Macaca fascicularis: one gene and its partner. The protein of the gene in region 1 binds, or shares a complex with, the protein of each later gene. Links are inferred from orthologs where the notes say so. Each region holds a gene or a part of one and is shown in the gene's direction. Other genes may lie near its edges.

The links.
Region 2: the proteins of SDCBP (region 1) and SDC4 are in contact, whole or in part, in a crystal structure (PDB 8BLV), measured with the Homo sapiens proteins. The link is inferred for Macaca fascicularis from reciprocal best matches to the Homo sapiens genes SDCBP and SDC4. Residues at the interface, in NP_001007068.1 of Homo sapiens: Gly207, His208, Val209, Gly210, Phe211, Ile212, Phe213, Lys214, Thr219, Val222, Asp251, Ser252, Ala255, Leu258; in NP_002990.2 of Homo sapiens: Thr193, Asn194, Glu195, Phe196, Tyr197, Ala198.

What each region holds. Positions count from the first base shown.
Region 1 is NC_088382.1:68,549,653-68,553,470, forward strand, and holds part of SDCBP (syntenin-1), read left to right. Parts: intron 1-1,159; coding exon 1,160-1,238; intron 1,239-2,485; coding exon 2,486-2,595; intron 2,596-3,818. UniProt on the Homo sapiens protein: Multifunctional adapter protein involved in diverse array of functions including trafficking of transmembrane proteins, neuro and immunomodulation, exosome biogenesis, and tumorigenesis.
Region 2 is NC_088384.1:101,416,146-101,419,963, reverse strand, and holds part of SDC4 (syndecan-4), read left to right. Parts: intron 1-2,508; coding exon 2,509-2,647; intron 2,648-3,818. UniProt on the Homo sapiens protein: Cell surface proteoglycan which regulates exosome biogenesis in concert with SDCBP and PDCD6IP.

The sequences.
Region 1 (3,818 bases):
GGTGAAAGAACTTTCAAAGTTCAACACATGTTCAATTTGTGGATTGTTATTTACAGTTATAAAGATGTTCATGCTGTATTTTGTTTAAATCTAGAATGTTTAACAAATTATGAAATAATAAATATTAAAGGATAACTCAACAAGTATATCAGAACATATGACTTTAGTACCATTCAAAGCTTTTGTAGGCTTTACTTATTTAACCTAAGCTTTCATATCTCCAAAGCATCTTTGGGACTACTCTTGACATTGATTTTAGGGCTAGGTTGAGATACTACTATGAACTTCATTTTTAAAATTACACGTTTCCAATAAAGTAAAAAGTTGGTAGAGATTGGTCATACAACTTATTACCAAACTTGTCTCTAATGACATATAGCTATTTCAGAAAGTAGATCTAATGGTAAAGGATAAAGTATTTCCATCAGTGAAAATACTTCATATGATATAGGCCATCGAGGCAGCCCTGAGAAGTGGATACTTGGTCATGAATAGCACTGATAAATGCTAGAGTGTCAGAGTGTGTCAGAATGATTTTGGCAAGTTTAACAGTTACAAATTATATTACCTTGTCATCATCCATTTATGTCAGTGATAAACTGTGCTATTTTCATAATTTCTGATATTCTAAAAGTGTTTAGCATAAATCCCTTGCTATACTTGCTGCGATGAAGATGATTTCAGTGGGACATGCTAAAATGGTAAATATTAGCAACTTAGTATTTATTTTTTAGGTGTTTTTCTGATATGTGACTTTTTATATGAATATGGGTATGCTTTTTTCTTATGCAAATAAAATGTTTTTACTTGGACTAATTAGTAAAAGAATAATGAAAATGTAAAATTTATCCATTTTAGAATGCACTTTGAAAATATTTATTGTGGCAGCACTATGAAATACTGGTTATAAGACATGTAGAATAGTACTTCTACAATTTTTTTGTGATAGCCTTAAAAGTATTTAGAATATCAAATATAATTTTGATTTGCAGATTTCCTTTGAAAAAATGTATTGCTGACATGTTTGAAATTAAACTTTCTTACATAAATCTTCATTGTTTTAGTTTCTTTTTGGAAGTACTGGATTTAGCTTATAAATTATATAAGTATATAAAGTAAGTATAGTGTATTGTTACAATTTTCTTCTTTTCTTTTTCAGGCTCAAACTGCTTTTTCTGCAAACCCTGCCAATCCAGCAATTTTGTCAGAAGCTTCTGCTCCTATCTCTCAAGATCGAAGTAGGTTTATACTTTGAGTTCATTCTCTGTGAACAGAAATATTGTTATCTTCTTTTGCTCAAATAAGGAATCCAAGATTTTTTTTTCTTGACAGGCTGCATAAAATTGGTAGTTAAGCTCAAATAGTTATGAATAAGAAAAAAAAGTTTACTTCAAAAAATAACCCTTTTTCTAATTAAGATAGTGAACTGTGGATATGGGGATGTATTTCATGGCTTAATGAAAATTGATTTTAGACTGACTTGTAAATCCCTAACATGTGGCTGATTCATTTATGAATGAATTATATATATGAATTCACATGTAAGAACTTTTTGAATTCACATTTAAGAACTATCATCATGCTGCTGCTGTTGAACTTTCTGAATTGTCTTCTGTCTTTCCTATGGGAGCTTCTGAAATTTCCAACCACCTCCTCTTTGGGAAGCCTCTTAAATATTGAGGCCTTTATTCATTCTCTGTATCCTGTCTTTAGTCCCTTTTTCTTCAAGGTTCAGAGGGATTCAGGACAGAGCTTCTAAATACTATGACTTAAGATACAAAATAAGTGTTAAATAAATTTTGTGGCCTGTCATTTTGTCTTACAACAGTTTATAACCTTGCCTCATAGAAAATTCATTTTAAGTCACAGATAATTTAAGTCTCATGTAGAAAAGAGCTTTTGGAAATAGTATATAACTACTACCAGGTGAAATAATGTTAATATTTAAAAATACCATTTGCAGGATTTCATTGGAATGTAGTTAAAATTACTAAAATTGATAAGACACTAAATAAATTTACAAGCTTTCAAAAAAAGATTGTTCAGAAGAATCATTCCATAGCCCTGTTTACAGAATGAGTTATAAAGTAGCTGACTTGACAAATAGATATTTTGGTCAGTTGTTCTGAATTGGTAAGTGGTATTTTTACTAAATTCCTAATCAAGTAGGTTTATTTTAAGAAACAGGAAAGGCAAGATAGTTTATTTGGAAAAGTTATTTCTACTTTTGAGTGTTTAGGAATCTGGTTGTTTCAGTTCAGATGTCTTCATATTTTATGAATTTTAAACATTTTCTGTATTTTCCATTTCTAATGGTTACAGAGATGGGGAGATGCCTTTCCAAATTGCTACTTTAAATTCATTCTAGATTTTATAACTTAAGTATAATTTCGTTAATACACAGAAGCCCATAATAAAAGAAGTTTTCATTTTGTGTATTCTGTAAGTACTTTTTAATTTATTCATTCATTCATTTACTTATTAGATCTCTATCCCAAACTATATCCGGAGCTGTCTCAATACATGGGGCTGAGTTTAAATGAAGAAGAAATACGTGCAAATGTGGCCGTGGTTTCTGGTGCACCACTTCAGGGGGTATGTACAGTGTAATTAATTTTGAATTATATAAAACCATACTTTACATATTAATATAAGCTTTCCTGTTTGTGGCTAACTCAAAAATATACAACAGCATTGAACCTCACTTCGCAGAAATTTTAGACTTCTTTTTGGATATCGTTTCTTACATAGTCTACTTCACTTTGTGCTACACGTTTTGAGTTTATTAGGATTTAGATTCAGATACCTTTTACTAGTTCATTCTCCTTTGTCTTCTGCATTTAGTCATTTACTAAGTCCTGTTGATTCTGTTTCTGTTTCTTGTATTCATTTTGTCTGTTTTTTATCCATTCTAGTCCTACTATAACCATATTCAGGGTTTCTATACTTCTAGCCTTCATTATTATAGTACTCTCTTAAATTTCCTCTAGTAACTTATTTCGATGGTACTAAGCTGTTGCTAAGTTAATCATTCTGAAATACACATATAGGTCTATCGTATCTTTGTTGCTCATAATCTTTTTTTTTGTTGTTGTTGTTGTTGTTGAGACGGAGTCTCACTCTGTCACCCAGGCTGGAGTGCAATGGTGTGATCTCAGCTCACTGCAACCTCTGCCTCTTGGGTTCAAGTGATTCTCCTGCCTTAGCCTCCCAAGTAGCTGGGACTACAAGTGCGTGCCACCATGCCCGGCTAATTATTTGTATTTTCAGTAGAGACCGGGTTTCACCATGTTGACCACACTGGTCTCAAACACCTGACTTCAGGTGATCCACCTGCCTCGACCTCCCAGAGTGCTGGGATTACAGGCATGAGCCACTGCGCCAAGCCTTTGCTCTTTAGTCTTTTAACATTCTTTTTGAAATCCAAAGCTCCATGTAATTAGACTCCATATTCTAGCTTAATTATAATGGATCTGATAACCTTTTATTAAGGTTATTGCTATGACCATAGCACTTTGTACCACTTATTATAATTGTAGTTAAATCTGTGTCTGTCTTGTTGCCATATCCCAATGCATATACAGTACCTAGCATGTATGTATTTACCAAATATTTATAGAAAACTTGTGTTAGTGGTGATGCAGTTGGGAAAACAAATAATAGTAGGTATTTTAAGAGGTTGAAAAATTGAAAAAAACATAATTGCAGATAGCTAGTTGCTTCTCCTAGGACTGGGATGACACAGGGGAGAGACTGGAGTTAGCAGAACCTAGAACCTTGAGGGAAGAGCCCCGCAGAGCTGGGACTCAGACCTCGAA
Region 2 (3,818 bases), on another chromosome or scaffold:
GTGGCCAAAGTGTACCATTCTTTCTTTCTCCCGACTGGATTTGACCCTCCCCCACCCCACCGACTTAACAGGGCTCCCTTGGAGCCTGGGGCAGGCTGGTGGCCCCGTGTGCATATGTGTTCATGCGTGTGTTTATGTGTTTGTGGTTAAAGATCCAGGTGAGTGATGCCTTGGTTCTGGTCCAGTGTGGCTACTTCCTGCTCGTGTGACCTTGGACAAGTGACTTTACTTTTCTGAGCCCTTGTTTCCATCTCTGCAAAAAGGGACTATTCAAAGGACCTAGAGAGGCTGTGTGCTTGTTGAAGGCCTGTCACTTGGGTTCTTGGGGGATTTGCCGCAGGAGATGGAAGTAGGAGCCCAGGGACCCTGCCCTTAGGTATAGTCACTTGGGCAGCCACGGGGAGCCTTCCTCCTGCTCTGCCAAACCAAAGCCACAGGCACGGGCTATATGCGGGGGCTTGAATTCCAGCACCAGCAGCCCAGCAGCTCCTGATTCCCGAGTCATGAAGTCATCTCTGACCAGGACTTAACCTCTCTGGCTTTCCACCCCCACGGGTGCCAAGTGTTCAGCAGAGATTCTCCCCACTCCCTGGGGAGAGAGTGATTCCTGGCCACTGCCTTTCTTGCAGCCTGACCCCGCTCCCTTCCGAGAATCCAGCATCCTCCCACTGTGGGGGTGGAAGAGGGGCATGAGGGTCAGGCTCCACCTGCCTCTCCCCGGAAGCCCAGGGGGAGAGTACAGGAGTGGCTCCGAGGCAGCTTTCCTGGGCCTCTCCTGCAATGACAGTAGCCTTATCTCAGGGACAGATGCTCCTTCTCACACCCCCTCCTTTGTCAATGGCAGTCTCAGCTGAGTGAAGGACAGGCTGGGATGTCCGAAACAGAGACCTGACCTCTTTCTATCCTGAGTTATGTAGCGAACACTCTGTGTGACCTTGGGCAAGTCCTTGCCCTGTTCCAGGCTCAGATTCAAGTTGTGTGGAACAGGAGGACAGGAGCTCCTTGGGTCCTGGAATTCTGTGATTCTAAGCAGACTCCCAGCTCCCGCAGTTACGGGGTCTGGAGATGGCAATGTCTTGCAGCGGGAGGGGCATGGTGTATTGAACTTAATGAAAAACCCCAGGTCTCCTGGCAAATACTAGGCACTTTAATGTTTGAATTAATTAATAGAATAATGAACTTTGCTCAGAGCAGCTGTTCTCTGGGCAAACAGAAGCCTGAGCCCAGAAGCTGGAGGAAGGGTGATGGGCATCCAAATGCTTCCTGTGCTCTTGAGGGTGCTTTGTTCCCACTCCGTGGAGCTGCAGGATGGGAGCAGGGTACCTGATGTACTGTAGGGCTGCCCGGGACCTTTGACACTTTCCTTTGGCAAGCTGTTTGGTGGGAGCGGACCTGAGACTCTGTCATGATCAGCTGTGTCTCCATGGGGTAGTGGCTGAGTGACGTTTATGGGTACTGGAGTGGATGGTCTGTGAAGGTGAGGATTGTGCCTCTTGGTGTCTGCATGGTGCTGCCAGCAGAGCCGATCTGTGGGAGATGTTTGGAAGGCAAGACTGAATCCAGGAGTGCACTCCTGAGTCATCAGGTCTGGGCAGCGCCCTGACCTGAGGCTGTCTTAGGGTGTGCGTGAGGCAGCCCTGTCTGTCCCGGCCCAGACTGACTCAGCTGGGAAAAGTGTCCTGGACTGGGCAAGACCAGAACCAGCAGCCCACTCCCTGTCCTGTGTGAATCAGCTGCCCCTGCATCACAGAGCCCTGGAGTGTAGCATCCCAGGGCCCTGTGCATGGAGACTCCTGGCTCTGAAGTCAGGCAGCCCTGTGTGTGCAATCCTTGCTCTTCCATCCGCCAGCTGTGTCACCAAAAGAAAATGACTCTCTCGGCTGTAAAAATAAGTGAATAACATGCCTCCAGAGTTATTAAAACAGGGCCCGGCACACAGCAAGTGCTTGGTAAATGATACCTAGCCATATTAATACTTTGATTATTACCTCATTTACTATTTTTATTTTTTTTTGAGACGGGGGTCTCACTCTATAGCTCAGGCTAGAGTGCAGCGGCACGATCCTGGCTCACTGCAACCTCCACCTCCCGGGTTCAAGCAATTCTCCTGTCTCGGCCTCCCAAGTAGCTGGGACTACAGGTGCAAGCCACCACGCCCAGCTAATTTTTGTATTTGTGGTAGAGATGGGGTTTCACCGTGTTGGCCAGGCTGGTCTTGAACTCCTGACCTCAGGTGATCCACCTGCCTCAGCCTCCCAAAGTGTTGGGATTACAGGTGTGAGCCACAGTACCCAGCCTCATGTACTATTTTTATTTGCCCAGAATGGGAAAGAGACTTGCTTAAGGACACACGGCAAGTTAGAGGTAGAGTGGGATCCAAGACGCAGGTCTCCAGGCCCTGGCCTGGTCTCTTTTTAGTTTTTGAATGCCCACTTCACTAGCTTTCAGGCATCGGCTGTCATGGAGCACTGGGGATGTTGGCTGATGTGTCTCCTTTCTTTATCTTAGATCCGAGAGACTGAGGTCATCGACCCCCAGGACCTCCTAGAAGGCCGATACTTCTCCGGAGCCCTACCAGATGATGAGGATGTAGTGGGACCCGGGCAGGAATCTGATGACTTTGAGCTGTCTGGCTCTGGAGATCTGGGTACGGAAGGTGTGGTGGGCAGGCGTAGGCACAAAGCTGGAGGGAGTGGTGGCCTAAGCAACCAGGAGGGTGCCCATGCCTTGAGACTTGGATTTTTGTGGGACTTTTCCTAGAATGCCCTTCCTCCTTCTCAAAAAAAGGGGAGACAAAAGTAATGGATTAACCTTTTCCATCCCTGAGAGCCCCTGGGGACAAGCTGTGTGCTGCTTTGAAGTCATTGGTAGCTCCGGGTTTTCTGAGCTCCAGCCTGAACCTGTCCTCATGGGCTCTTCTCTTTGCTGCAGGGCATGGTGGGGGTGGGGTGAGGGTAGGCTGGGTGGCAGGACAGGGTTGGGGTGGCGAAAGAGGACCCATAGAATGTTTTCCTTTCTCTGAAAGGAAAAGTTCCAGCCTGTGCCACATGGTGAGAACTTGTCTCTACAAAAACACAAAAATTGGCCAGACGTGGTGGCATGCACCTGTAGGAGTCCCAGTTACTTGGGAGGCTGAGGCGGGAGGATCCCCTTGAGCCTAGGAGGTTGGGACTGCAGTGAACCAAGATCATGCTACTGTACTCCAGCCTGGGTGACAGAGTGAGACCTTTGTCTCAAAAAAAAAAAAAAAAAAAAAAAGAAAGAAAGAAAAGAAAAGTAGCAGTTTAGAAGTGGGGATGGGGTGGGAGGGGGCATGAGTGGGCAGAGATGTAGTTGGGAAACCAAGAACAAGTCCCTGCTTCAGTGGGGGTGGGGTGGGTGAAGGGCCCAAGGCCTCCAGGCCAGACAACTGATAAATGTCCCTCCTATGTGCAGAGAGGTGTTAATGATCGCAAGTTTTAGCTCTGGAGTCACATGGTCCTGAGTTCAAGCCTCCACCCTGTGTGAACTGAGCCTCAGTTTTCTAATCTGTAAAATGGGAATAATAAAGATAGTAAGTACATCAGTGTTGTGGGGACTGAACTGACAAAGCTTTTGGCACCCACCAAGCACTCAGTACATGTGTGTTTGGTTTTTTAAAAATATAAATTTTATGATCAGGTGTGGTGGCTCATGCCTGTAATCCCAGCACTTTGGGCGGCCAAGGCAGGCAGATCCACGAGGTCAGGTGTTTGAGACCCACCTGGCCAACATGGTGAAACCCCGTTTCTACTAAAAATACAAAAATTATCCAGGTGTGGTGTCGGGTGCCTCTAATG